Stegostoma tigrinum: one gene and its partners. The protein of the gene in region 3 interacts with the protein of the main gene of each other region in a biochemical or structural test. Links are inferred from orthologs where the notes say so. Each region holds a gene or a part of one and is shown on either strand. Other genes may lie near its edges.

What was found. The genes of interacting proteins can lie anywhere in the genome.
Region 1: the proteins of erbin (region 3) and abcc4 interact in a test that uses a peptide from one of them, tested with the Homo sapiens proteins (2 studies listed by BioGRID and IntAct). The link is inferred for Stegostoma tigrinum from reciprocal best matches to the Homo sapiens genes ERBIN and ABCC4.
Region 2: the proteins of erbin (region 3) and acvr2aa interact in a test that uses a peptide from one of them, tested with the Homo sapiens proteins (2 studies listed by BioGRID and IntAct). The link is inferred for Stegostoma tigrinum from reciprocal best matches to the Homo sapiens genes ERBIN and ACVR2A.

The regions. Positions count from the first base shown.
Region 1 is NC_081359.1:44,660,947-44,670,808, forward strand, and holds the start of abcc4 (multidrug resistance-associated protein 4), read left to right. Parts: upstream 1-5,245; 5' UTR 5,246-5,364; coding exon 5,365-5,438; intron 5,439-9,862. UniProt on the Homo sapiens protein: ATP-dependent transporter of the ATP-binding cassette (ABC) family that actively extrudes physiological compounds and xenobiotics from cells.
Region 2 is NC_081360.1:83,446,176-83,456,556, forward strand, and holds the start of acvr2aa (activin receptor type-2A), read left to right. Parts: upstream 1-5,764; 5' UTR 5,765-6,237; coding exon 6,238-6,292; intron 6,293-10,381. UniProt on the Homo sapiens protein: On ligand binding, forms a receptor complex consisting of two type II and two type I transmembrane serine/threonine kinases.
Region 3 is NC_081356.1:111,629,505-111,639,636, forward strand, and holds the start of erbin (erbin), read right to left. Parts: upstream 3,867-10,132; 5' UTR 3,213-3,866; intron 1-3,212. UniProt on the Homo sapiens protein: Acts as an adapter for the receptor ERBB2, in epithelia. By binding the unphosphorylated 'Tyr-1248' of receptor ERBB2, it may contribute to stabilize this unphosphorylated state.

The sequences.
Region 1 (9,862 bases), on a different chromosome or scaffold from region 3:
TGCCCCTTCCTAATTTGGGCTATCTACATATTGCTTCAAGAAACACTCCTGGAAGCTCCTAAAAAAATTCTGCCCCATCTAAGCCTTGGAACTAAGGAAGTCAAAGTCAATATTGGGGCAAGTTAAAATTGTGTACAACAACTATACCATTATTCTTAGATCTTTCCATAAGTTGCTTCATATTTGTTTATGATCTCCCGCTGCCTATTGGGAACCTATAGGGTCAAGAAAAAACCCTCACCTAAAACCCTGGAATTTTCCAATCTCCAAAATACTGGGCAAAGCTCTGGACTCAGGCTGCAGCAAATATATAACATAGCCAGCAGAATGGAGATTTCTGTCTGGGACGATGGCTCGGCCTGGAATTCCAATTTACACATCACAAGAAAAGAACAATCAATTGACATTAACGAGACCCGGGCCCAAGAGTGCTTTTACACCTTGGGTTACAAAGCACAGACAGTATGGGGTCTACAGAGAGAACGAACTTCAACTTCAATCGAAATCCATTCACAGAGATACTGGGCATTCAACATTAATTGAAATCGGGTGCGGGTATAGTTGCAACATTTAAAACACATTTAGATAAGTACTTGAATGAGAAAGGTTTGGAGAGATATGAGCCAGGTGCAGGCAGGTGGGACTACTTTAGTTTGGGATTATGTTCAGCATGGACTGGTTGGATCGAAGGGTCTGCTTCTGTGCTGTGTGACTCTGACTCATACACTCCAGTAGAAAAATGTTCCTGCCTGTCCAGCCTCTCATTATAACTCAAACCTTCCATTCCCGTCAACATCCTGGTAAATTTCTTCTGAACTCTCTCCAGCTTAATAATATTTTTGCACTGTTTGGTCACTTCTTAGAAAACATAAACTCCCAGCTGTTCACACAGTCGCTCAAGTTTTAGATTTTTTCAGCCAGCTCCTAGAATTACAATAAAGATACAAATTAGCTATACTCCAGTTGAATAGCGGAATAGGTTTGAATGACTGAGGTTTTTGCTTCTGCTTCTGCTTCAATGTGCTGGAATTTCCTTCCTAACCGTCTCCATCTCACCTGTTCCTTTCAAATGCTTCTTCAAATCCACCTTGTTGACCAGGCCTCATAATGTGTCAAAGGCGCTTTTGCTTGACCTAAAAATAAGAAAGCACATCAATATCCTGGACATTTTTTCTGGCGTGTATCCCGAAACTCAGGATTTATGTGCGGTGGGATTAGACAGCCATGGCTGATAAAGGAAGTCAGGAAATATATCAAAGAAAAAGAGACAGCCTATAAAGTGGCCAAGAGCACTGGGAAATCAGAAGATTGGGAAGGCTACAAAAACAGGCAGAGGGTAACAAAGAGAGCAATAAGGAAGGAGAAGATGAATTATGAAGGTAGGCGAGCTAGTAATACATAAGAAACAAACGAGAGGCAAAAGTAGATATTGGGCCGCTCCAAATTGATGCTGGAAGGCTAGTGATGGGAGATAAGGAAATAGCTGAAGAACTTAGTAAGTACTTTGTGTCAGTCTTCACAGTGGAAGACATGAGTAGTGTGCCAACAATTAGGGAGAGCCAGGGGGCAGAGTTGAGTACGGTAGGCATGACAAAACAGAAAGTGCTAGAAAAGCTAAAGGGTCTAAAAATTGATAAATCTCCTGGCCCCGATGGGCTACATCCTAGAGTTCTGAGGGAGGTGGCTGAGGAAATAGCGGAGGCTTTGGTCGTGATCTTTCAAGTCACTGGAGTCAGGGAAAGTCCCAGATGATTGGAAAATTGCTGTTGTAATTCCCTTGTTTAAGAAAGGATCAAGGTAAAAGATGGAAAATTATAGGCCGATTAGCCTAACCTCGGTAGTTGGTAAAATTCTAGAATCCATTGTCAAGGATGAGATTTCTAAATTCCTGGAAGTGCAGGGTCAGATTAAAACAAGTCAGCATGGATTTCCCAGCACTATTCTCGACAGGGCCCTCAACTAGGTCTGAGTTATCTCCTGCACTTTCACACTCACCCCCTCTCTTCCCTCCCGCAACAGTAATAGGGTTCCCCTTGTCCTTACCTACAATGCCACCACATCCAGAAGATCATCAGCTCACTACTTCCAGTAAGAGGCCACCAGCAGACACATAGTCCCCTCCCCTCCCCTCCCTTGTCTGCCTTCTGCAGGAACCGTTCCTTCCGGGACACGCTGTTCCATTCTTTCGTCACTCCCAACACACCCCCAGAGCCTTGTTGCAGTGAAACTAAGCACAGGCTAGAAAACAACACCTCATTTTCCACTTAGGGAATCTGCAGCCCTCCAGGCCCAATATTGAGTTCAATAATTTTAGAGCCCAACTCTCACATGTCCTAGCCCCCAACCTGTCGCACCAGGCCTCAAATAGTCTGCTGCCACACACTACCTATTGTTAACCATTAACGGTCTCCATTAACAGCTGTTAACCCTCCCAGTCAGGTTGTTATCCAATCCTTAGTCTGTCCAACTGTTCTTCTCTCTCTTTGGGCTGTATCTCCACCCATCTTTGATGCCTTACCCCCTTCCTCAACCCTATCCTCTGCAATATAAACCGACATTTTCCAAGATGACTTTCCACATCAAGCAGATGTTCACTTACACATCCGCCAATGTAGTATTACACATCCACCAATGTCGTATACTGCATCTGCTGTACCCGGTGTGGCTTCCTCTACACTGGGGAAACCAAGCGGAGTCTTGGGGACCGCTTTGCAGAACACCTTCGCTCGGTTCGCAATAAACAACTGCACCTCCCAGTCACGAACCATTTCAACTCCCCCTCCCATTCCTCAGACGACATTTCCATCCTGGGCCTCCTGCAGTGCTATAATGATGCCACCTGTAGGTTGCAGGAACAGCAACTCATATTCTGCTTGGGAACGCTGCAGCCCAATAGTATCAATGTGGATTTCACCAGCTTCAAAATCTCCCCTCCCCCACTGCATCCCTAAACCAGCCCAGCTCATCCCCGCCTGCCTAACCTGTTCTTCCTCTCACCTATCCCCTCCTCCCACCTCAAGCTGCACCTCCATTTCCTACCCACTAACCTCATCCCACCCCCTTGACCTGTCCATCCTCCCCTGACTGACCTATCCCCTCCCTACCTCCCCACCCATACTCTCCTCTCTCCATCTTCGGTCTGCCTCCCCCTCTCTCCCTATTTATTTCAGAATCCTCTCCCCCTCCCCCTCTCTGATGAAGGATCTAGGCCCGAAATGTCAGCTTTTGTGTTCCTAAGATGCTGCTTGGCCTGCTGTGTTCATCCAGCTCCACACTTCGTTATTTCATTTTCCTCGCCACCATCAGTTTTGAGGAAGCGTCACTGGACCCGAAACGTTAACTCAGCATCTGAAGAGAAAACAATCAGACCTGCTGAGCTTTACAAGCAATTTCTGTTTTTGTTTCTGATCGCTTCACGGCTGTTTGTTAATGCATACGTGCACCATTTCTCCATGGTGTCTGCAAATGCAGCCTAAAAATATTCAGGGACTCTGCTGCCACTGCCTTTGACACAAGAAAGTTCTAAAGACTCATGAATGAGAAAAAAATGTTCTCCTCATCTCTGTCATAAACCGGCAATCCCTTAATTCTAGATTCTTCAACAAAGAGAAGGATTCTCTCCAAATGCACTGAACCTTCACGGTTTCAAGTTCTGTGATAGATCAATGCCTTTTCAGGAAGGGGTTCCAAAGACTCAGTGAGACTAAAGAAACTGTCTGCTTTGTTTTGCAAGGGTGATGGATCCCGTATTGCACACACCTATTTATCTATTTATCTTAAAAATGTGCTGTTTTTTCAATGGTTTTGATTTCCATTGATTTTGATTCACGTTTACAATGTCTCACACATACAGTTGAGTATTCTTTCACCAATACGTTTTCAGGAAGTTCTACAAACTCATGACGGAGAGAGAAATATTTCACCCCATCTCTGCATTAAATACGCGAGACTGGCTTTTGAAACAGCGACTCTGTTCTCGCACAAGGGGATAAATCACCTCCATTTCCATTCTATCAACAATCTTCAAAATCTTATATTTTTTCAGGATTCATGATTTAGACAAATGTTCTCCTTATTTTGATTTGTATTTACAATGCTTCAACAATTCAAAGACTTCACTTCGACTGTCTTTTTAGGAAGGCAGTTCCAAAGACTCAGCGAGAGAAAAAAAAATCCTCTGCTTTGTTTTGAAAGGGCGATGAATCCCTTATTGCCCAGAACCCATGAAATAACTTATCCCAAAACGGTGTTTTTTCGCCACTCTCTACCAGATCTAGCTGTCCCACGATACCAGGTTATAGTTCGACAGGTTTATTTGAAACCACAACCTCCTGGAGTGCTGCTCCTTCTGCCGACGTCTCTGGGACCTTGTAATTTAAAAAAAAACTGGTGTCATAGTGGGGAAGATCTCCAAAAAGATCGCACATATTGACAGGCACTCCACCTGACGATTCAACAGCGCTTCCAAAGCTTGTGATTTCAAATGAACCTGTTGGACTATACCAGCGTCGTATCACTTCTGACTCTGTGCACCCAGTCCGACCACAACATTGATCTACTTGAGCTGCGAATTCTGTGTTTCCAACACTTCCAAGGGGGGAGAAGCTGCACTCTAATGTTACAGATCTCAACGCCATTTTAAAGATCATAAGTCACACAACACCAGGTTATAGTCGAGAGATAGTGGGAACTGCCGATGCTGGAGAATTTAAGATAACAAGGTGTAGTGCTGGATGAACACAGCAGGCCAAGCTCCAGACCCGAAACGTAGCTTTCCTGCTTGGCCTGCTGTGTACATCCGGCTCTACACCCTGTTATCTCAGGTTATAGTCCAACAGGTTTATTTGAAACCATAAGCTTTTGAAGCGCTGCTTCGTCAGGTGAAGCTCCGAGAGCTTGTGATTCAAATAAACCTGTTAGACTACTATTTGGTGTCGTGTAACTTCTGACCTTGTCCAACACCAGCACGTTCAAATCACGGCCATATTAAAGAGTCGATAGAGCAGCTTGTGGCACATGGCAACAGTCCTACCTCTAAGGCAGGAGGTCCGGCTTCAAGACTACCTGTTCCAGAAATGTGGTATAATATCTCTGAAAGTGTTGATTTGAAGCTAAAACAGCAACAGCACGGACTAACCGACAATAACACAGGTGATTCTACCCAGCAATCGGAGAGCACAATCACCGTGGTAACTTCTCCTTCGTTAGACCAGCTTCCGCCTCTTTGCGTCCACCTCCTTTACTGGCTCCGAAACCTGCTTCCGTTTCCGACCCCCTGGCCCGTGATTGCTCGCCCAAGGAACGTGTGTCGGTATTGTCTGTCAGTCGCTTTACTGTTTCCGTCTCTCAGAGACACAAACTACCATGGAGCCCGTCTACCGAGAGGATAAACCCAACCCGATGGGAACTGCCAATATATTCTCCAAAGTCTTTTTCTGGTAAGCGTGCTTCGACAACTTCTTTAGTGATGATATTTATCGCTTTTTCTATTTTCGAGTCATTCAAGATTAACTATCTGTTTGCTTATCTGTGTAGCCTTTAATAATTTTTCATTACCAAAGGCATTCAGCCCTCCGAGCCCTCTGCTTTTACGGGTTTTTATTAGTTCAGTGACAAGCCTTAGATCGTAACTGTTGTAAATTGAGAAAATGTTAGCTGGTTTCCACTATTCCTACAGTCCCAGATCGGTTTTATTTTCAGGTGTTCTGTTGAAAATCCTCAGTTTTTAAAAAAAAAATTAACTAAGTGCTAATGATAAACTTTGAGATTAACATTAAGTGCCGGTGATGAGGTGCAGTAGCTTTCCCAGCGCTCTGCCTTTGTAGACAATAGAACTGGCATTACAGTTCCTGTTTGCCGCAATTCGTAGGGTTAAAGTTTAAAATCTGCTTTCAATTACTTATTTAAACCTGTGAGACAGTAAACAGCAAAACGCAATGTTTTTGCCAGGGCCCTTGATACTGCTAGAGTAGCTGTGATTGTTCTTGGCGCAGCAATTTATTTGTTAAAGTGTTTGAAATAATGAAGGGATTTGATTGAGTGAGCAGAAAAACTATTTCAAAGAAGGATGTAAACAGAGGACGTAGATTTAAGGCAATTTAACAAAAGAATCAGAGAGGAGTTGAAGTTTTTATTTCTGGCCATGCTTAAAAAAGGTGGCGGAAGCAGATTCAGTGGTGACTTAAATATTTGAATATCCACGTCAAAGAAAGCTTGTAGGTCTTTGGAGAACAAGCCATCTCATGGGAAGAATTGATAGTTTTTTCAAAGTATGGACACAGGCATGAGAAACAGTTAAATTTGAGTCTGGTGTATGATTGATGTCTTTCTATGTTGTACATTTCTAAATCTCCTCCTATTTTCACAATACTAAATAAGCAGTTTTATTACTGCTTCCTCATGGTATAGATATTGAAACTGACAGGAAACCGATCTTCCTGATCTACTTCAACATAATTTTCTTACACAAACCACCACAACCGTTGATATCCTTGCGTCTTTAGTAACTTAGATAACAAGATGTAGAGCTGGATGGAACACAGCAGGCCAAGCAGCATCGTAGGAGCGGGAAAGCTGACGTTTCAGGTCTGCACCCTTCTTCATTTCTGAAGAAGGGTCTAGGTCCGAAACGTCAGCTTTCCTGCTCCGATGATGCTGCTTGGCCTGCTGAGTTCAATCGGCTCTGCGTCTTGTTATCTCTCATTCTCCAGCATCTGCAGTTCCTACTATCTCTGAAACATCTGTAGTATCTTAGAAGTTTACATTGTTTAGTTTATAACTTTATTTTTCCACTCCTTTATGGGGGATGTGACTCATGATAGAAATTTGTTTTGTTTTATTTATTCACTTGTTTTATTTATTCATTTATGGTATGTGGATAGTGCTAGTTGGCCTGCATTTATTGTCTATCACTAGTTGCCCTTGAAGGTGGTGATGAGCTGCCTTCTTGAACTGTTTTGATCCATCGACAGTGAAGGAACGTTAATGTGTTTACAAGTCAAGATGGTGAGTGGCTTGGAGGAGATCTCACGGGCGGTGTCTTTTATAATAGCTAATTTGAAAAATACAAATCAAGATTTTCAGGAATAAAAAAAATTGTGCTTAACCTGCCCTTAATATACATTCTTGCACATTTTGCATGAGCACAGTATCATGGAGTCCAGTTCTATGGAGTAGAACTGCAGAAGACTAGTTCCTGTTAAAAATTGATTGTTTGCTAAAGTTTAAGTTTTCATATTTAGCGTCTGACTTAAACTTTAATTTGTAGTGTTTTACATGTTGCTAGTCAACAGTAATAAAAAGAAATGCTGAAAATAATCAGCTCTGGCAGCATCTAAGGGGAGGGGGAGAAAGGTAATGTTTTAGGTCCGTGACCTTTCATTCTTAACTTTGTTTTTCTCTCTACAAATACTGTTAGATCTTCTAAGTATTTCAGGCACCTTCTGTTTATATTTCTGATTTCCAATACTTCCAGAAATTAATGTTAAACCAGAAGCCTACTATTATCTGTTGCACAATTTGGTAAGGCCACGTTTATCTGTACTGTAACAGTAGAGGCAAACATCACCTCTGCATGTACTGTTGTAATCCATGTCTTTTGAATGCAATTAACTGAAAACCCTGACACATTGGCTTGATATCAAAGTTCAAGTTGCCCGCCAGCCTGTACAATTGTAAGTTCTTGTCCCTCGTCGAGCTAAGCTTTTTTGACACTCTGGAAAATTGCTTTTTGTTTGGTAAAATTATTAAAAGAAAATATTTTGCATTACACATTTAAGAAAAAAGAAATGTCTTAAGCCAAATTTAAACAACAATGCTCTGATTCACTGCCTATGAACTAAACTATTGAGGCTGAGGGGATTTCCTGCATAAAACCTTAATATGCTGATTGAAAAGCATAATTCAATATGTTAACAGCTGATAGCTTTTAATTTTCATGGTTTCATTCATTATAGATTATAGCTTTGTGTGCCAGTTTGAATGGAGAATGGAATGTTCGAGATGAGAAGTGTGAGTTCACTTTCTAGGCCAGTTCCTGATTAACCTTTAAAGAAAAAAAGTTCATCAGATGCTGTATTGTGGCTGAGTATGTGTGCATAACTCATTTTTGACATATTTCCTGTGGGATGCAGGTGTTAAGGTGATTATTTAACATTTACTTGTTCAAGCTAACCACCTAACTATCTGTGGGGATTGACTCAGATCTTTGGAATTTCTGCTGGTAGGCCTGTGGACGCTTGTGGCACAGGGTGGTGTCCCTCCTTCTAAGTCAGGAGATCTGGGTTCAAGTCTCATCTGCTGCAGAGGTGTGTAATAATATTTTTGAGCAGGTTGATGAAAAATATTTACGGCTTGTGTGGTGCAGCGATGGTGTCCCTGTCTCTGGGTCAGTAAACCTGGATTCAAGTTCCACCTGTTCCAGAAGTGCATAATAACATCTCTAAACAGGTCACTGGTAGGGTTTATGTACAGGTCCCCCCACAGTAACCACGTGGCACCAGGGAAGAAATAATTTTCAAAAGTAATTATCATGGGATTTTAACCCTAAATGTCGACTGGAAAAATCAGATGGGAAAATTTAGTCTAGAGGAATTGAAAATTTTAATGGACAATTTCTTAACATTTAATGGCACCAACCAGAGAACAGACTATCTCCCAGGAACTGCTGATGCTGGAGAATCTGAGATAACATTGTGGAGAGCTGGATGAACACAGCAGGCTAGGCAGCGTCAGAGGAGCAGGAAAGCTGACGTTTTGGCTGTGGACCCTTCAGAAATGGGGGATGGAAGAGGATTCTGAAATAAGAGAAGTGGGGAGGGGAGGCGATGATGGAAGGTGGAATACAGGAGCAGATTGGCGGAGAGAATACGGACAGGTTAAGGAGGTGGGGATGGAGCCAGTAAAAGTGAGTGTAGGTAAGGAGCTGGGATGGGGCTTGGTCAGTTGAGGGAAGATGGACAGGTCAAGGATGTGGGGATGAGGCTAGTAGATAGGAGGTGGGGGTGGGTGTTGGTCAGTGAGGTGGGAGGAGTGGATAGGTAATAGAAGAGATGGACGGATCAAAGAAACAGGGATGAGCTGGGCTGGTTTTGAGATGACGTCAAGGGTGGGGAGATTTTGAAGCTTGTGAAGTCCACATTGTGAGACCATTTGGCTGCAGGGTTCCTAAGCAAAATATGACGTGCTGTTCCTGTAGCCTTCAGATGGAATCGTTGTAGCGCTGGAGGAGGCCCAGGATGGACATGCCTCCCAAGGAGTGGGAGGCGGAATTAAAGTGGTTCATGATCGGGAGTTGCAGTCGTTTGTCGTAAACCGAGTGTAGGTGTTCCACAGAGTGACCTTCAAGCCTCTGCTTGGTTTTCCCAATGAAGAGGCCACATTGGAAGCAGCAGATACAATGTACCACATTAGCAGATGTGCAGGTGAACATCTGTTTGATGTGGAACGTTTTCTTAGGACTTGGGATGGAATGAGGGGGGAGGTGTAGGGGCAGACGTAGCTTTTGCCTTCAACCACAGGAAGTGTGCCGGGGTGGTGGGGCTAGTGGGGAGTGTGGAGTGGACGAGGGAGTCACAGAGAGCGCGGTCCCTCTGGAAGGCAGATAAGGGTGGGGAGGGAAAAGTGTCCTTGGTAGTGGGGTCAGATTGCAGGTGGTGGAAGTGAAAGAGAATGATACGTTGAATCTGGAGGTTGGTGGGGTGATAGGTGAGGATGACGGGGTATTCTGTCTTTGTTGTCATTGCAGGGAGGGAGTGTGAGGGATGAGTTGCAGGAAATGTGAAAGATGCGGCCGAGGTCATTTTCAACGACTGTGGAGAGTAAGTTGTGGTCCTTGAACAATGAGGACATCTGGAATGTCCGA
Region 2 (10,381 bases), on a different chromosome or scaffold from region 3:
CAAAAAAAAAAGAGAATCCCCCTAGTCCTCACATACCACCCCACCAATCTCCGCATACAATGCATCATCCTCCGGCACTTCTGCCATCTACAATCCGACCCCACCACTAAAGACATTTTTCCAACCCCACCCTTGCCTGTCTTTTGGAAAGACCACTTTCTCCGTGACTCCCCTGTCCGCTCCACACTCCCCTCCAACCCCACCACACCCAGCACTTTCCCCTGCAACCGCAGGAAGTGCTACACCTGCCTCCACACCTCCTCCCTCACCCCTATCCCAGGCCCCATGATCTTCCACATCAAGCAGATGTTTGCCTGCACATCCGCCAATCTGGTATACTGCATCCACTGTACAGTGTGGCTTCCTCTACATTGGGGAAACCAAGCGGAGGCTTGGGGACCGCTTTGCAGAACACCTACACTTGGTTCACAATAAGCAACTGCACCTCCCAGTCACGAACCATTTCGACTCACCCTCGCATTCCTTAGACATGTCCATCCTGGGCCTCCTGCAGCGCCATAACGATGTCACTTGTAGGTTGCAGGAACAGCAACTCATATGCTGCTTGGGAACCCTGCAGCCTAATGGCATCAATGTCGATTTCACCAGCTTCAAATTCTCCCCTCCCCCCAATGCATCCCAAAACCAGCCCAGCTCGTCCCTGCCTGTCTAACCTGTTCTTCCTCTCACCTGTCCCCTCCTTCCACCTCAAGCTGCACCTCCATTTCCTACCTACTAACCTCATCCCGCCCCCTTGACCTGTCCATCCTCCCTACCTCCCCACCCATACTCTCCTCTCCACCTATCTTCTCCTCTATCCATCTTTGGTCCGCCTCCCACTCTCTCCCTATTTATTTCAGAATCCTCTCCCCTTCCCCCTTTTCTGATGAAGGGTCTCGGCCCAAAACATCAGCTTTTATGCTCCTAAAATGCTGCTTGGCCTGCTGTGCTCATCCAGCTTCACACTTCTATCTTGCGTTCTCCAGCATCTGCAATTCCCATTATCTGTTGTTCTGTAACCTGACTACGTGACAATAAATCTAATTTGGAGTCTCAAAAAAAACTCCAGTCTGACCAGTCTCCCTCCAGAACTCAAACTCTCAAGCCAAGGCAACATCCTGGTGAATCTCCTCAGCACCATCACATTCTCCTGTAGTGTGGATACCGGAATTGCACACAATACTCTACCTGTGGTCTAACCAATTTATTTTGTACATTCCAGCATATCTTTGATGCTCTTCAACTATGCCTCTTCTAATGAAGGCAGATATACTGTACATCTTCTTCACATCATCCACCTGTCCAGACATATTAAAAGACTGGTGTACATGTATTCAAATGCTTTCTGATCCTTGTTGCTTCCCAAGGTCCCACCATTCTGGAAGATTAAACGCAAGCACACAATTTCAATAGATGCAATGTGTAAAATGGAAGTTGCAAGTATCAGAGAAGATGACCATTTGAAATTATTTGCATTTTTATTTTAGTTATGTTCCAAGTAGTATTCAGGAAGATTAGATTTGGATGCTGCCGTCACTGTTGAGAGTCAATCCTATTCTCACCTTGTCCCTTCAAAAACTCTATCCTGCCAATGCAGGTGGATGCCATCACATCATAGTTTCCACTATTTTCCTGGCCTTCCGCCAATAACAATAGTAGGAAAATTTTGTTCAAGGGGCATACTATGTTCTGTAATTTTTACAAAGTCAGACCAAGTTATTTTTTTATTTGGTCATTACAGCACTTTTATTCTCACTTCTTGGTTATATAAAACTGTACATTTGGTTGTTTTATGGAACTGAAATGAAGAAATGATGATGGAATGTGTGGGGAAAAATTTGCTTCACTACATGAGCCCTGAATACTTATCAGTCAGTGACCAGAGAATATGGTAACAAAAAAGTTGACTTAAGATCTGACCATTGTTATTTACATTCACTTTTACAAATAAAGGAGGTCAACCCAAATAGCACCCTTTTTCACTGTTATAAAAATGTCTTTTCTGTGTTGATTTGGTCTGGTTTTTGATGAAAAATACAAACCAGAAACACTGACGCTCTTTCTCTCTTGACAGATCCTGCCACACCTGCTGAGTGCTTCTAGCATTTTCACCTATGTTTATATCTTATGCTCCTTTTCACAAAGGAAAATTTAACCATTACAGGAACATTGCATTGACAAACTCAACATTTACAGGCATTAATGAAACATTTCATTGGCTCTGACCACGTGTTATTTAAAAATGCTGCAGATTTAAAATTGCTTTCAAGCATTGAAAAGATTACATCTCAATTTTATTTTGGTTCTGATGGTATACTGTCATGCCAAACCTACCTGACAATTTCCCAAGAAATGTGAAGTGTTACAATAGAAGGTAAAAGCACAATGATAGCCCTTATTCATAAGGATTATCAATCTTTAGGTTATTTTAAAATGTAATTAACCCCTCAGTTTGAAATAATTTATACAAATCACAAATAAGCTTTCATAGAAATATTGCAACTTAAAAAACATCACTAATTCCAACTTTGTAACAACACCATAGTTCTATATACACAGAATCTCTACACAGCAGCTCCCCTCCATGACTAAAATTCAAATCGCAGGCCTCAGAAGTTATCAATCAAGAACCTATTTTGGTCTTAAATACACTCAATGAGTTGGTCTCCAAAGCCTTCTGTGGCCATGAATTCCACAGATTCACCATCCTCTGGCTAAGAAAATTCCTGTTTTACTCAGTTTAGAAGGGTCTTCCCTTCATTCAGAGACCCTGCTCTCAGGTCCTAATCTCCTCTATTGCTGGAAACATTACCACAGCCCCCTTATCTAGATCTCTCAGTATTCTGAATGTTTCAATGAGATTCCATAGCCTTTATGCCAAGCAGGGATAAATGAATGGAGAAAACAAAGTGAAATGGGTTTGAATGAATTAGCAGGCAATATCATCACTCTTGACTGCTGTTAATCATTGTCCAGTAACCACTGCTTTTATCTGGCATTCACTTAAAAGCAGTTATGGTCACACAGTATTAAAGGCACTAGATAAAATGCAAATTTTTGTTGTTGAATTAAGCAGTGACAGCGTCTAAGATTGATTGGTTTCCAAACTGACTTGACTCAGATCTAAAGAATAATTTAAAGTGGCACACCAGAATGTGGCCAGTACCTTGAGGAACATAATCCCTGGAGGCGATGTATTCTGAACTTTAAGAAAGGAAGGAAGAAAACTGGATGAGGTTAAAAAAAACTTCATAAGTGTTTTGTAAATAAACTGGTCATAATGAAGATTGAAATTTATCGGTGTTTTATTGTCAAATGGTGTCAGCTTCCATTTTGCATTCTGAGTTGTTACATAGAACAAAAAAGCAACTCTACACAAGATACTGGATTTTTAAAAAAATCCCAAAGTTAACAGTTTTAAAATATTTGCCTTCTTTTCCATCTTAATTATGATATTCATGAATGCATGTTGAATTTCCCACAAGATTTCATCAAAACATTAAAGATTAAAAGAATAATCAAATAATAGCTCAATTGAAAGAAAAGCCTTGTTTTCTATTTATAGAAATAGCAGTTGAGGCTCCCCTCCCCCATGAATTGTTTTCCTCACCCTTCTCATTTCTTAACGCTTGTTAACTCCCTGTTAAAAAGGTAGCAGCTGCTGTCTCATACCAGCTCAAGAAGCCATTATCCACGTATCAGCCTTCATAAATATCAAGTTAATTGATCACCAGGCACAGCTGAACCTGACTTTCTTCTCTCCCCCGCGTAACGTGATAACCCAGGCACCCTCTGCAGGTTCAAAGCTTTGATGGAAATCAAAGACATTGAACTCGAATGTAGCAATCCGACTAGAGAAGTAAATCTGTTGCCTATATCTTTATCAGAATTTCACTATTCTGAACGTTACGGAGGATTTTCAAACTGCTGACAGACCAGTTCTCAGGTTGGGGTCAGTGGCGCGGGATTACATATCATTAATTACCATTACTGGAATGAGAAGCAAGTAGTTTGCTTGGCGCAGAAACTTGATAGACAATGTTGCAGGAGTCGCCATAACATTTTCCAGAGGATGATTTAGGAAGTGTAGGTCCAATGTGGGAAGGTATTACATTTAAAGTTTTAACAAATGATAAGAATAGGTTTAATTAGTAGGAGTGACAAGTGTGGGGTTGGCAGAAAGACAAACATATCGAGGTAAAAAGAATGTTTCTTATCAGCCAAATTATGCCAGTTGACTGTCGTCATTCTAAGGTTATCTATTTTACGACCCGATTTTCTTTTACGTGATTGGTCACCAATGTTGCTGGTGATCAAGTTAATGAGACCTTAAACCATTACACCCCATCGACGCAGAAAAATATTTCAGCCGAACCAGTTCGCCCATACCACTCCTACAGGTCGGAGTATTAGAATTGAATTGCACTTTTTGAAAAGGTGCAATCAGAGTGCAACGGTATTTTTAAAAAAATTAGTTTAAGCTTTGAAGGACTGATTGTTGGGGGGCTAGTTTACCTAGTGCATAGTGCATTTTTCAGGTTGAACAAACTTTGTGTAACACGTGCACCATTTCTGAGCAGCACTTATGAATCACTATCGAGGAGCTTTGTTCAATTACTCGCTGAGTAAATCGAAGAATTACAATTACCATCAGTACATTCTTCCGTCGAGCGAGCGGCGACGGTAGCCGGAAAAAATAACTCAGAAGTGGAGTTTGCCACTTACATATGAAGTACGTGACTGTGCACCAAAGTGACAAAAATTCTAATTGCATGCACCATCAGAAACTCCGAAACAGTAATAACATATGTTTAAAATAAGTTCCGGATGAATCACAATACCGAAGTCTTTAAAACAGTGGACTGTGTTGCAAACTCACGACTGGGTACTAATTAATTTGATATGTCACCCTCAGAGCCCTCACCTTCACTGTTAGGAGAGAGAGAGCCGCAACATTGGGCTGACACGGAAATAATATATTTCGACAAGAGACTGCTATTCGAAGAATATTTATTACCCCGAATACTGACTTAGCTTAGCCTTTAACTTGGCTAACAAGACGACTAAAGCAGGGAAGGAACATTGGGGCATCTCAGCAGGCAGGTGCAACAATGAAAGATGCAGCAACTTCAAGGACCTTTCAAGCTAAGATCAGCGAAAAGTTACAACTATTTTGGAGTCGGATTGCATTCCGACACCATGCGCTTTTACCCTACCCACTCTACATATCTTGCGCATCGCTTCCAACCAATTAGCAAAATTCTTCTTATCGGATTTGCACGGCAAGTCTGGAACTTCCTCGCCCAATTAATAAAGCCGCAGCTCTCGATTGCTGGAAGCGCACGTCAGTCATTACCATCAGGCTAGGTTTGAACGCTTCGCCTCAACCAACTTGCCGGCTTTGCTCCACATCTTTTCCCCCATCCCCCGCCAAAAAAAAACACACACACACATATATGCAGTCACGCCTACCTGCTGGAAGGGGATTGGTCAGGATCCAATAATAAACGCGCCTTTTTTTCGCAGGAGGGTGGAAGCGAATTTGTACAATGCAGTGAAGGTCTTCTACTGGTCTCACAGGACGTCAATCACACTGACGCTTGAGACAGGCGGAGCTGTGACTGGTGATGGGCGATGCCAATCGGGTTACGTAAACCGCCTCGCCCCACCGCTTCTCGCTTTTGCTCTGTTTAGGAGGAGGGCCTGTTCGCGAGCTCGTACTGCCGTTTTTTTTGAAATCCACCTCGGGGCGGGGGTTGGGGGTGGGTAGGGGGAAGGAAACAAAAACAATTCAACGCCATTTTGGACTTAGGCCTACTTCGTTAATTATGAATTCCGGGAGACTTCGAGTACACCATTCCCGTCAAAGGAGCTGAGGGTTTGCATCGTATGTTTTCTTCCACACCCTCTACTTTTTATGTGAATGGCGGCTGTTTTTTCTTCCTCCCAAATCATCCCTTGTTGGCGTTATCGGCTCTACACGTCTATGTATTTTGTCAAACAAAAAAACATTGACAGCCGAAGTGTATGCTATCGCTTAAATTCCCTACCTTTTTGAATGAAGTTGCCCACTGAAGAAGGGGGAACGTTTGCTACAAGGTGGATCGCTGCCAGCAGCAAGTCAGAAGACGTGGTGGAGTCGTAAAGATTTTTTTACCCTCGGCTGCGATACAGCGATCGTTGTGTTCTAATTAATCGGTTTTTGTTTTAAAAGAAGACATATCAATAAAAAAAATCATGGGAGCTGGTACCAAGCTTGTTTTTGCTGTTTTTCTGATTTCGTGCTCCTCAGGTAGGTGATAGTTTTTATTGGGCTCTCTTACCCCAGAATTTTTTTAAACCAGTCTTTCACGCACGTAAATCTTAAATAGCATGCGATTTTTTTAAAATTGTGGATGTTGCAATCGAACCTCGCAGCAAAAAAAAGCAAGCTCGTAATTTGGCACAATCTATTTGCTGTTGGATGAGTAAATTCAGCCAGTTTGTGGCGTGCATGTGCTGAGTTTCTGTAGTGCGGTGTTGGTGTTTTACTTGTAATGTTATACCAACAAGCTCAAGGTGACTGATCGGAATAAAGGCAAACTTACTAAATACATAGATAAACGGCCAAGGGTTGACTTTGGTTTCATTTTTTTCCGGAGTATTGCTAGTCTTAAACTATAAGTGACGTTCGATTTAAATTCATTACGTACAATTTTTTTCCGTGAAATTTGTACAACTTAGTAAAATCAACCCCTTCAAAGTACACTTTTTAAAAAAAAAGTAACTGAAAAAAATGGGTGTTCCTATTGCAATCTGTTGCAAAGTGGAAAATCAGTCCTTGTATTGAACGACAAAGATCCTTAGTGATTTTAAGGTGAAAAGTTTTCATTTTTCCCTGTACCTTCCTTTTCATCCTTCCCCGTCCCATGAGAGTAATTGTTTATGAATATTGTAAAAGATGACAGATGAAGCGATAGTTGTACAAAGCATCTCCGCCTGTTTAATTAAAGTTTTGTAACAAGTTACATTGCAATTTTGTTCAGAAAATTGATTTGCAGATATCGTCAAATGCAGACCTGTTGGTGAAAAGGTCGCATTTAATCTGAAGTGCTTATGTACTCTTTTTTAAAGGTTTCACGATCGGCTTTGTAACAGCAGCCATCGTGAGTGGTCCATTTTCATTTCAGAGCTTCGCCTGCTTTGTTATTTAGGAAATATTACTGTGTTCTGAGTTTTATACTACTTGCACAGCAATCATTTATGCAGAATAACGAGCAAAACAATATTCGTGTTGAAACTATACAGTTTGCACAGTGCAAAGCCCAATTCTTCATTTCATGTGAATGTTAAATGTATAAAATTTGTGTCGATGAGATGAAAGTCCATGACACGTAGCTGGTTTATGCTACGCATCTTCTGAGTATTGAGTGTTTATTTTCAATCGTAGTCATTAGACGACTTAATCACTATTTGGAAGTTGTTGTCAGATGTTTTACGGTAGTGAGCTGGCAGTTTCTTGGGCATTTCATTTTGTAAATTCCTTTTGCTCTCTTTTTATCTTGGTCTGCAGAAGGCACAAGTGTGCAATATTTGTATGACTACATTGACACCTTGTAGAAAGTATTTTTTCCAAAATGTTTTAGTGTAGAAGAAAAAGCTGGTTATAGATTAATACAATACAGATGCCTGATGCCCATTTTTGTAGTCAGTTATAACATTCTCCATTTGTGAAATATTTTGATGTATGTAATCTTGATGTCCAGATCTTTTTTTGTGGAAAATAATTGTTGCCGTAACAGAACTGTGAATGATGTGCTTCTGTATAATAAGAAAGATAATATAAAATAGTGCTGACAAAAATCTATGCTAAATTGGCTTTGCCAGCATTCTGTTGTCGAATTTAGCTGTTTATAAAAGAAACTACGTGTGAATTTACCAGATGTGAACCTCCCTGTTTCAGCAAGTAGGCTCCAGCGCAATTATCGAATATAATTAAGAATATCTGATGGAATTTATTCATTAATTGTTTTCTATGGCGAACATTGACCTTTCTAGTATTGAATAGCAGTTGTAACTTTTTTTACGAGGCAATGTTCTTTATGGTTGATTTGTGTTTTGAGTAGATCCTTTTTGGAGGTATGTGGTGGGAAACGTGGCTGTACAAGAGACTTGCTCAACGTTTTTCACTCTAGCAAAATTGGCAGACAGGTTTATTTTTTAATGTGTGTCTTTAGAATTCAGGCTGAAAATTTGAAATAGCATACTATGCATAAATTATAAAGCTTCATTTACTAAAAGGGCTATTCTAGGAGCAATAATTTCAAAGCTTTTTAAGTGTAACTGAGCAAGTAGTTTATTGCAATGCTTAACTTACTGCATTTACAATGGCTAATACTGCTCTAAGCCTGAATGTAGCCAGCAACCCATGTTTAACATTTAGATTTCATATTTCTGTAGGATTTTTAAATATATTTAACAACTGGAAAATACTGTATCTATTATTCAGAGGCCATTTCTAAAGTCAGCAGTGGTCATTGAGAGGGTTAGTATTTTGTTTTCTTTGCTCAAGTTTTGCATTATTTTGTTTTGCATACAAACTGTTTTTCAAGTTACTAATTGTAGGATTCTCGAAATTTTGCCTTTTTAAAATTAATGTGGGTAATGGAAATCAATTTATTTGGCATCAGGTAAATGTGTGCTGATTTTAAGGTATTGTGATATGTTACGTAGACTTTCAGAAGTGTGATTGGATGACTTCAACTTCTAAAATAGGACTTTATCAGATACAGCATGCCTAAGTTTGTGAGATCGTCCTGTAGAGTAAAGGAAGAACTATTTTAGGTCACTGGGTTTAGCATTGCAGTGATGAAATGGTGTCATAGTCTGCTTGTCCACACAGAAGTGTGCGACCACATGCCTTTTACTTATGTGGGTAGCAGGTATTTTCATTGCAGTTCAAATTGAAATATCACTATTGCGTCGTTTACTGGCTGTTAGTTTAATAATGTTTTAAGATTAACAGTTATGAACTGTTGATATAAATTTATATTTAGTTTGGATAAGGATCGAGAAGCAAACTCAAAGAGAAGCAACTACATAAGATGCTATGGCCCACTTCGTGCAATGATCCAAATAGATCTATAGGTGTCCATGGTACAGAAAATTAATCACCATTAAAGTTATGTTCAGTGTGCATGATTCACTTATGCTATATTTGATTAGTTGTTCTTCAACTTCATGGATATTGTATAAAATATTTCCAGTTTGCAATTTTGAATTCTAAAGGAAAATGCAATAAATTGCTGGTTACATTATTGGTCTTTCAGCACTTAAAATTTTTGAATTCAAAAATGTCAGAGGACACGCAAAGTACCTTTTTTTGATTGAGTGAAGAGTCCAGCAGATGACAATGACTACAGTTCAAATCCCTCAACATCCCATATGAGGACTTTTTTGTTTGGATTCAGAGCAATGGTGTAGGAATTAGAAATATCATGCTGCACTATAACACCTAACTTTCATTCTGGCTTAATCTTACAAATCTTTTCAAATTTCATGTAAAAATAAATGTTTTTCAAGTACCATTGTTTCACAAATCTCAGGAACATTGCAAAGTGGTCATACAGCAATGTGTCTTACACTAACTGAAATCAGATCAATCCCATTAAACAATTCTGCCATTTTACTGTAGAAGGGGCAACTACAGCTATGCCAAATGGTTTAGTTCCATTGGTGTAGTGAAATAGAAGCTTGAATCTTCATTTGACACAGGGCTAATTGATTGTGTGTGTTCGTGGCATAACTTTCTGTTAAACTCAATTATTTTTCTAAATATAGAATACACTGCAAAATTTTACAAATTTTTCCAGGCAAGTACTTTCCAAATGTTATTTTGTTGAAATTATTTTTCTGTATTTTGCAAATAATATATTTGTTACTCTAAAGTTACAATTCACAAATAAATATTCCAACAGTATCTTCAAAATGATTTTCTTAAATTTACTCTCTTCTGTTTACCTACCCCTCCTCACCCACTACCTCCAATCAAACACTGTATGTATTTAAAGTTGCCCGGTGGCAGACTGGTGTATGTTATGGATGTAAAATTTTGAAGTCAGTGAAAAATTGTCCAAAACATCATGTCAAGTATTAACGTATGACTTCAGAAATGAACACTTAATTGAGTCCACTGAGTGCATTGTAGTGCTGATAAACAGATGGCTTTTAGGTTATTAAGCATGCAGAAGTGTTTCAGGTGGTCTCAGGTTGTGAAATACGTGATATAAGTGCAAGTCTGTTTATTTTATTATACTATTGCCGTAGAATCAAATAGAGAAACATTGAAGATAGGAGCAGGAGGAGGCCATTCAGCCTTTTGATCCTGCTCTGCTATTCTTTA
Region 3 (10,132 bases):
TTCAGTATATTACCACTTCTACAATTTAATTCAGTAACTTATTCTGTAATCCAAAATGAGACCAGAACATGGTGACATTATACACTTTTCACCGTACCTAGGTACAAGTGACATTAAACAAATCTAATCTCAACTAGCATGGATAACTTCCATCCCTCTGTATAAAATGTGACAAGTTGGTGGCATGCAATTTCAGCAGCAACTGGCTGTGTTGCCATAACTCATTCACTGCAGGCTTCTGGACTCATGACCTACAAATATACATATATGAGTGTGGTCAGCAGCTCACAGCAGCAGTCATTCATTCCAAACCATAGACTTTCCTCATCAGATATCTGTCTGTCGTCTGGAAGACCTGGTGAATAACTCTCAGTTGACCAGACAACTTGATGTTGTTTCAGAGATAGTAGGAACCACAGATGCTGGAGAATCTGACATAACAAGGTGTAGAGCTGGATGAACACAGCAGGCCAAGCAGCATCAGAGGAGCAGGAAAGCTGACGTTTCGGGCCTCAACCCTTCTTCAGAAAAGGGCCCTTTTTCTGCAGAAGGGTCTAGGCCCAAAACATCAGCTTTCCTGCTCCTCTGATGTTGCTTGGCCTGCTGTTTTCATCCAGCTCCACACCTTGTTATCTCAGACAATTTGTTGTATTGGATATTCCAAATCTCATGCAACATACAGCATGACAGAGTCAAGGAATCCTCAAGCATTCCAAAGGCCATTTCATCCATCACATCTATATTAGAAAATATTTCCAATTAGTCTCCCTGTCTTACTTTATTCCATAGTCCCGCATTTTTTTCCAAACATACATATACTCTAGTACAGTACAGTGATGGGCTTCATTTACAACTTTTTGCATTGAACAAGCACATGTCTGTTTCCAGTGGATCTACAATGACTTATCACTGTGGAGACATTAATGAATAGCTGCCATTCTCTTTTTTTGGGGGATGGATATGTGGTGGTCATGTCACTGGAGTAGCAATCCAAGACCCCAGGCCAACGCTCCGGTAACATGGGGTCAATTTCCATAAAGCAGATGATGAATTTTGATTTCAATTTTTAAAAATCCTGGAGTAAAACCTGCACAACGGCCACCGGGTTATGACTATCAATGTCATAAAAATGAGACTGGTTCACTCATGTTGCTCAAGGAAGGAAACCTGCTGTCCTTACTTGGTCTGGATAAAAGGTGATTCCAGACCTACTGTAATGCAGTTGACTCTTGATTGCCATTTGGGCCCAGGCAGTAATGCTCACATCCTGTGAACAAATAAAAAAAGACACCACCAGGTCTTCTGGCATAGTAAAACCCAAAAGAACTGTGGATGCTGTAAATCAGGAACAAAAACAAAGTTGCTGGAAAAACTCAGCAGGTCTAGCTGCATCTGTGGAGGAGAAAACAGAGTTAATGTTTTGGGTCCCGTTCTGAGGAATGGTCACCGGACCCGAAACATTAACTCTGTTTTCTCCTCGAAAGATGCTGCCAGACCTGCTGAGCTTATCCTGCAACTTTTCCTCTTCTGGCATAGTGGTTAGTGTTCCTGTGTCTAAGCCCAAAAGCTCTGGATTCAATTCCCGTTCCAAGGCTTGATAGCCAAACAAAGTGCATCTGTAATGTTGCCAAACAGATTGGACATTAAACAAAAACAAAAATTGCTGGAAAATCTCAGATGTGGCAGTATTTGTGGAGAGAAATCAGTTAATATTTAGGTGTGGTGAGCCTTCAGAATTGATGGTAGCTAGGAAAAGGATTTGTTTTATACAGAAGGTCGTAGGGGGGTATGGGAGTAAACATTACGTGGAGATAGACCCCAAAGAGAAGGATAAACAAAGACGTGGATAAATACCAGGCTAGGAGAATAAACAGCTGCTAACGGGAACTATTAGTAGTTAAGAATAGATAATGTCTGGTCGCAGCCTATGTTATGACAAGGCCTGGTACATTTTGGTGGTGGAAAAATGAGGAAAGGTGCTCAAGTTGTAAAATTGTTGAATTTGATATTAAATCCAGAAGGCTACAGGGTTCCCAAATGGAATAATCAAATATCAACCTGCAAATCCTTCAAACACATGCCAGTGACAGATGGCAAGGGCGGGGGACATTCCTGGCCGGCCATGTGACAAAGAACAGTGGAACCTCCAACATCATTAACCATTGATCCAGATCACAACATACAGTAAAAGGTACACATTGCCAGAGCAATTCATTAGTCTATGAGAACTGTAACACAGCACCACCACAAACCAACACTGCCACTTCACTCCTCCGTCCCTACATATGTACCTTATTATGAAAGGCTAACTACGGCAACTTGTTTATGCACATGCCTTCGGTTGTATTATAGCACTTCTACAAAGTATATTTCTGGGACTTGTGCATAAGCAGCAAACATTATTGTTTTGAAAGTTTTGATGACAGCTTCACACTCCAGTGAGTAACAAACCACAGAGCACCAAGATTCAGTTCAACTCTAAGGAACTGCAACTCAAAACCTTCAAACATACTTACACTCTTCTGTTAACTCAAAGCTACAGACAGCGACTTAATTTTGATCTCAAACCATTTGGGTAGCTGTGAAACCAACACATGCGTGTTTGCATGTACCTGTGCATCAAAAAGATGGATATAAAGACGGATATAAAGATCGACTCCGCGTATTTTCAACACTAGATTTTTTTCGGACCGCCAGCAGAAATTGAAAAACGAGGTCAAGGTTCCATCAGAAAGGGAGGGTTGGAATATGGGTTAACATTTGCTTCCTGTCATCCAAAAGATATGCCAGTTGCTTCTTCCTAATATCAAGCCACTTATCCGAGCAAGTAAATACAATATTTATCTTCTAACACCGTTACTGTGAACATGCCAGTGTTGATGCAATAAGCTGTTTCGGCTCAAGCCCTGAAGTTAAACAAAGGGATCTCTGTCTGATACGTTTAGACCTTGAACAGCGTCAACTGGTCAAGGTTTAAACACCTCGAATGCAAAACTTCCTTCTCTTCTCACCAAATAAACAATACTTATCTCTCGTTTGGATTGCTATGTTTTACACCGGGTTTGGATGTGTAGGTCATGACTGCTATCCTAGCACTACCTTTTTTTTTGGGGGGGGAGGAAGGTTGGTGTTAGAAAAGAGTGTGTAGGCCTTCCCTCCGAAGGCGAGCAGAAACCAAGCCGAAAACAAATTCCAAGCACAAGCCATTTTACCTTCACTCGCCACTGATCCAGACGGCCCGCTTCTTCATCGGCTTCCGATTTAAACTTCAAAACAATCCAAAGGTTCGATCCGGGGGTGGGGGGGGGGAGAGCTGGGCTTTATGTGGTATTCAGAGCCGAGGCAGGACCAAACACAATTTCTCCTTTTTTTTAAGGGGGGGTGAATATTAAAACAAAAAAGGAAAAACTCGCGAGCTCTCAACACAAGCTCTCCGATCTCTGTCGATGGTAGTTAGACCAATTAAATCTTCTGCGCGCTGAACTTTTGCAAGTCTTTCCCCCCCCCTCTCTTTCTTCCCCCCTCCTCTCCAATGATGCAACCAAGTCTCTCGCGGTTTGTCGTCTCGAAAGTAACTTTCAGATCCGTCGCTGAATTTAGAGGTTCGCACGCAAAATAAAGTAATTAAAATGGAGTAAAAGACGACAGTGGGAGGAGAGGGGGAAAATGTACCAAGTCCTTTCAAAGCAGGAAACGGCGGGCAATCGACAGCATTTCCCAAGACTCGATAAGTCAAGAAGAAAAAAAATGCAACAAGGGAGTCAAAAAAAGTCCCCTATCGCCGAGTTTCACCTTCAGGAAGGAGCTGATGTGGTTCTTCCTCCTGCTGCAGCTTTATTTTATTAAATAACTTGCCCCCCCCCCCCCCCCAACTCCGGCTCCTTTCTTACTGTAAGATTGCCGCACCCAAATCCATCCGAAATTAATTTCTTCACCCCCCACCCCCCTTCCCTCCCCTCCGTGTCTGGCTCTGTTAACGATGCAGACAGGATCACCAACACATCGCTCCAGGTTTTCGCGCAACTCCCCAGAGCCTCAGGCAAATGAAGAGAGAAAGCAGCCAGTAGAAACCACTGCGTCCTCAGCAGACACAGCACACTGACCGAGAAGGAGGGGTGTGTGTGTGTAGTTTAGGGAGGGAGGGGAGAATGTGAAGTGAAACACAGGCAGATATGCACCGACAAGATAAAGCAACAGCGCCAGCTGTCTCCAGCGGCTACAATGTCGCCTGGGCGCCCTGATTGACATTTCAAGCAACCACACGCTGCGGCCTCCACACTCCCCTGTCAATCAGCATCCCCAGTCCCAATCATCTCCTGCTCCTGGGTCAGGGGCGGTCTCTTCCACGTCTCTGCTTTAAAGTTTCCTTTCCTCTGGTTGGGTGATTTTTTTGAAGGGTGGAGGTGGGGGGAGGGAGGTGATGGGATTGAGGATGAGAATAGGGAGGGGCTGGAGGTGGGTTTATTAATATCATTTTCCAGCACACCGCCGTCCTCATTTGCACTAAAGTTGATGCTTTGGGGGAAGTTGAGGCCGCGAGATTGTGCCAAGTCACTTCCATTGTGTCTTTCTCAATCTCCCCTCCTGCCGGTTAATAATTTCCAAAACCGGGCTGGCACGCAAAAAAAAGCAATTTACATTCATACAGTGAGTTCTGAAGAGAATAATGTAATTTTTTTTCCAGTTTGCTTTACGAATCCAAATAAGATATGCCGTTGTCTTATATATGAGGCAAACCGCTTTTGAGAAGGACATAGTGACTGACTGAAAACTCATTCTTTTGGCACAGGCACAGAGTGGAACTTGTCGCACGGATTGAACGCCATTCTGTTTGGATCAGATTCATTGTCTGACTCGGCCACCACAACATCGGTTTGTAACACGGACACCACATGAATTCACTCATTTTATTTAACACTCTCAACTCCGAACTCGCTGTACCGTGCTCAAATCAATTTTTTAAAATTCTATTCAGTAAACAAAGACCAAGAAACAACCAAGTTTTGATCATGTCGGATTTGTGCCACATCTGTGATTTTTATCACCGGGCCATTTATATTTTTTTCTGTGACAAAGTAGGATATATCTTAAAGACATTCAGACACGCAGAAACCCTTGAATCGGTATATATTTAATTGATTTCTCCTTTCACAGATGTTGACTTGTCCAACGCGTGGAATCCGCTTTTGTTTAATATACTTCTCGCATGTAAAATGTGAATAGGTATAACGTGAAACTGAGACAAGAAAATCATGAGACTGTGCAGTCCGCGTCGAATTGATTCTCGTCTGCTTTATGAAGGGAGAAACAAATACGCTGTGTTAGTAAATACTGTCGCCTGGAAATGGGAAGATTCAAATGCAGTATCATCTGCTTGTTTGAACTGCTGTGATTCACAAATATATCACAGTGCAGTGCATGTTAGGTTCTGTTTTCCCCCCAGAAATGGAACCCGTTAAGCGTTCGAAGCTGACTGTGCAGCGCAATCTCTGAGGCAGTTGCTTTGGACCAACATGCTCCTTTAGTTTCCTCCGTGTACTATGTCGTGTTATCAGAATCTGTCTTCACAACCGAGACATCGGTGCAACCCTTCCTTCCTGAATACTTTCCTGTCTGCATCCTGCATAAGCTTCTATGCACGCATAATCTCAGATCTTCAAAAAGAACTGCGCTCGTCTTGCCTTGAACCTGCGCCATCGTGTTCAAGCAAGTTTCTGTCTATCGTTTCAATGTAGCTGTACTATGAAAGCATTAAGGGGTTTTACTCCATCATTTTGTAAATCAAAATTTAAAAAGAACTATTTGTATTTACATTATTAAACAGTTTATTTGTCTCAAAGCTATAAAACTGATTTTTAAAATTAGTTTTGTGAATATAGACCAGCACGATAAGAATGTTTTTTTAAACAGTCTGACGGTAATTTCAGAAATTGCCTTTGGGTAACTTAATATTTTCAGATAGAATCTGCTGTGTTCTGTAATCTATTCACAGAATGAGATCAATGCTGACAAAGCAGCTTTTATCTCTATCCCTGCCTTCCCTAACGATATGATCGCATCGTTCTCCTTGAACTACTGCAATCCCTGTGAGGAAGGTGTTCTCGTAACCGTGTTAGACATTTAGGATTTTTACCAGGTAATAAAGTTGGGAGGATGCATTCAAGTCAGGGTAGTGTGGATAAGTTGGAACTATACCTTGGCAGTGATGCAATGCTCTGATTATTCTGCACTTTTCCCAGAAAAGGTTTTTGGAGCCAGGAGGTTCTGTCGAAATAAGCTGAGTGAATGACTGCAATGTATCTTACATGTTGAGCATGATTATATAAATAAGCACAGAAGCACATTAGTGCAGGCCCCACAAATAAAGTCTCATGCTAGTCACTGAGAGGGTGAATTCTGAGCCTAGTTTCAAGGCTGCTGACCAAGCAGATCAGGTGGGGTTGACTTGTTTGAATGGTCTCATGGTAGCAGCCAATCAGATAATTGGTTCATCTTCTTCACAATCATCACTTCAGCCCGATAGATGGTAGAGTGGCTCTGAAGTGTCAAAAGGAGATTTGCAAAGTTCTTGACCTCTGCCTTGTTCTTGTAAGCCCTAGTTTAGTATATGGCCAGTTAAGAGATGATTCAAGGTGATTCCCAAGAAAAAATGTACAGTGAAAAAATAAGATCATAAGACACCAGATCAGAAATCAACCATTCAGCCCTTTGAGCCTGTTGCACTATTCAATCAGATTATCAGGTTGACCTGATAATCTTCAACTCTACCTTCCTGACTTTTCCATATAACCCTTGATACTACTGCATTGAAGATCAAAAGGAGATGGGTGGGCTCTCTCCTGCAAAAACATAGTTACCTGGCTTTTAATTTGTTTTTGCCAGGCCAAGCCCTTTGTATTGCCCAAATCCTGCAGTAAACTCGCCTGGTTGCTTCACAAGTAGAAGGTTTGTGAATGAACAGTGGCACAGCAGCTTAGTGGTTAGTGCTGCTGCCTCGCAGCCCGAAGCATTGGGTTTGATTCCACCCGCAAGCAACAGTCTGTGTGGAGTTTGCACGTTCTCCCCATATCTGTGTGGGTTTCCTCCAGGTGCTCCGGTTCCCTCCCACAGTCCAAAGATGTGCAGTGTAGGAGGATTGACCATGATAAATTGCCTGTAGTGTTCAGGGTATGTTTGAGTCGGATGCTCTGAGGGTCGGTGTGGACTTGTTGGGCTTGAAGGGCCTGTTTCTGCACTGCAGGGATCCTGCTGTGGAAATATTAGCAAATTGTCTTCCTCCTGATTTAATTACAGGAGGAAAATCATTTATGGAATTGCTGAAGATGTTTATGTTGAGAGTACTTTGCCTGAGGAATTCCTGCAGCAATTTTCTAGAGCTGAGTTCTTGATCTTGCATAATCAAAATTATCCTTCTGTGAGCCTGGTATAACTTTGGCAAGGGGAGCACTTTGCCCCAACCCCAGATGATTTGTTTGTTGAGATCCAGTGCCATATTTGGTAACCATATAAGAAATAGTAACAGGAGTGGGTTAGTCAGCCCTTTGAGCTTGCTCCACTTTTCAATAAGATCATGGCTCGTCCAACACTCCTCATGTCAATTTTCCTATCCTTTCTCCATAACCCTTGACTCCTCTCCTGATTAAGAATCCATCTCAGGCTTAAACTGAAATGTCAATGATATTATTTATATATAGGAAGCACACAAATATGGAATCTGTTTGTTGTCCATTAAAAATGGGAATATATGTGATTTTCGCTATATAGTAAAGATAGTTATAAATTCATATGAACCAACAGATGTTATCAAACTTTATTATAACTCATGGGTACTCCAATTACTGTGATATATTGATGTTTCAGTTGGTACAAAGTCAGCAAAAACAGACTGAAAAATACTGCAAAATCTCACTTCAGGCAATGTGACATGAGGTGAGTTTTAAGGGAGTTTTAAGGGAACAACACAAATGTATCAGTACAATTAACAGAGGTGAATCAACAGTTATGAGTAAGTGGAATTGACTTGTATTTTATTTTTACAACAAAGTTCAGTAAACACAATCACACTGTAATCCACAACACCCACTTTTTTTCCTGTAATTGCATAAAATGTTAGAATGTCGAATATCATGACACATTTACGACATTTTATACAATCATGTGTTCTGGATCCAGCCAGGTTTGCTAGCTGGCTGACTGCTCCAGCTTGATTTGTTTGCTGCTGTTACATAGGAAAAGAACATTAGAAATAGGAGTAGCAGTAGGGCATTCAACCCCTTTAAGATGCATGGCTGATCTGATAGTGGTCTCAATTCCACTTGTCCACCAATATACTTACCCACCCTGTCGATTAGCACACTAGAGAAATAGGCCAGTTGACTCAGTTTGCCAGTATTAATGCTCAATACAAGCATCTTACCACCCTACTTCACATAATCTCATCAAAATATCCTTCTCTTCCTTTACTTCTATGCAGTCAGGTATGAAATGTAAATCTGGAACTCTCTCCAAAGAGGTCCATTGCAAACTTCAGAACAGATGTTGATCATTTTTTGTTAAGCAAGCTCTTTAAGGTGGTTAGATTGAGTTAAGCCACAGGTAAGCCATAATGTAATTGAATGACGGTACAGAACAGAGGGGTAGAATAACCAATTCCAGTTTCTCTATTCCCTTTAATTATTTGTATTAAATGCTCACTCTTAATAACAATCTTTTTGTACATTCTTCTGACTCTTATGTGAGGGAGATAATGTGGAAATAATTTATCATGTAAGAAAGAAATAATTTGTACTTATATATTTGCATTTTCACATCTTCAAGATGCTCCAAATTTCATCACAACCAATTAATTACCTTAGAAGCATAAGTAGTGTTTTGTGCACAAATAAAGCTAGCTAATCCATTCACAGCAAGATCCCAAAAACTACATATAGGGTAAATCCAGTTAATTTTAACAATATTGTTTGAGGGATAAATGTTGGAAAGAACAGCAAGACCACTGTTCCACTAGTGCATCCATATAAACTAGGACAAGGGACCCTGGTTTAATGTCTCATCCAAAAGGCAGCACCTCCAACAATGAAACATTCCTCCAGTGCTGTGCCAATGTCAACCTGTATTTGGAGATCAGACTTACAGCCTGACCTCAGCTCAGACGTTCTGAGTTGAAGGAAGGAGTATTACAACTTAAGCTAATTCTATGTAAGCCACAGTGTAAAAATCTCAGATAATGCATTTCCTTTTATGTTAATATTATTCCCATTAATGGCACATTCTCCAAAGCAATGACTCCACTTTGCTAACCAATCAGCACTCTCATGCAACATAAATGTAGGTTTTCCTTGTGAATTCATATTCTAGCAAATTGTCCTGATGAGTGAAAGACAAAATGTTTCAACAGAATGTGTGCATTTATAGCAATTCCCCAACTCACCACTACCAATTTAAAATATATAAAATTTTTTGCCTTCTCTAAATACTACAAACTTGTATGAAAATAGTTGTTAAAAGCCAATAGAGCTGAAGTTGTGCATTTCAGCATTCAATCAATGGACTAACAAATACATCTTAATCACATAGACTGCATCAGAGAATGAGTAGAATCATCACAAAGTCCCTGCAGAGACCTCGTATGCTGATTGTCTAGGTGTTCGACAGATCATGCGCTCACAGTAGATATTTGAGACAGCCAGTGTGGAAATTGATTTGAGGATGGTTATCATGATAAATTTCCAGTTCATCAGGCTTCAAAATAAAACGTTGTCAATCAGATCAGTTCTGAACCAGAATGGTGGAAGATGCTTGTTAATGAGCAACAGACCAACTTTACCCACGCCTTGCAAAAATGTAAACAATGCTCAACTTAACTTCACTTTACAGTACTGTCACCTAGATGGCACAGCATTAGAGATAAAAATTAATGAATTTGTCTTTAAACTCACTGTTATTTTACAACCACTGTATGTTATCTATGCACGGCCATGGATCATACATTTCTGATAGACTTAAATTTGACTTAAAACCATGTATATAAGAAGAGCACTTTCCCATTACTTAGTATATTGGTAATTGTTCAGCTAATTAACAGAAGGTAATAAACTATTGGCATTGAAAGGGCATGTGAATGAGCATTCAC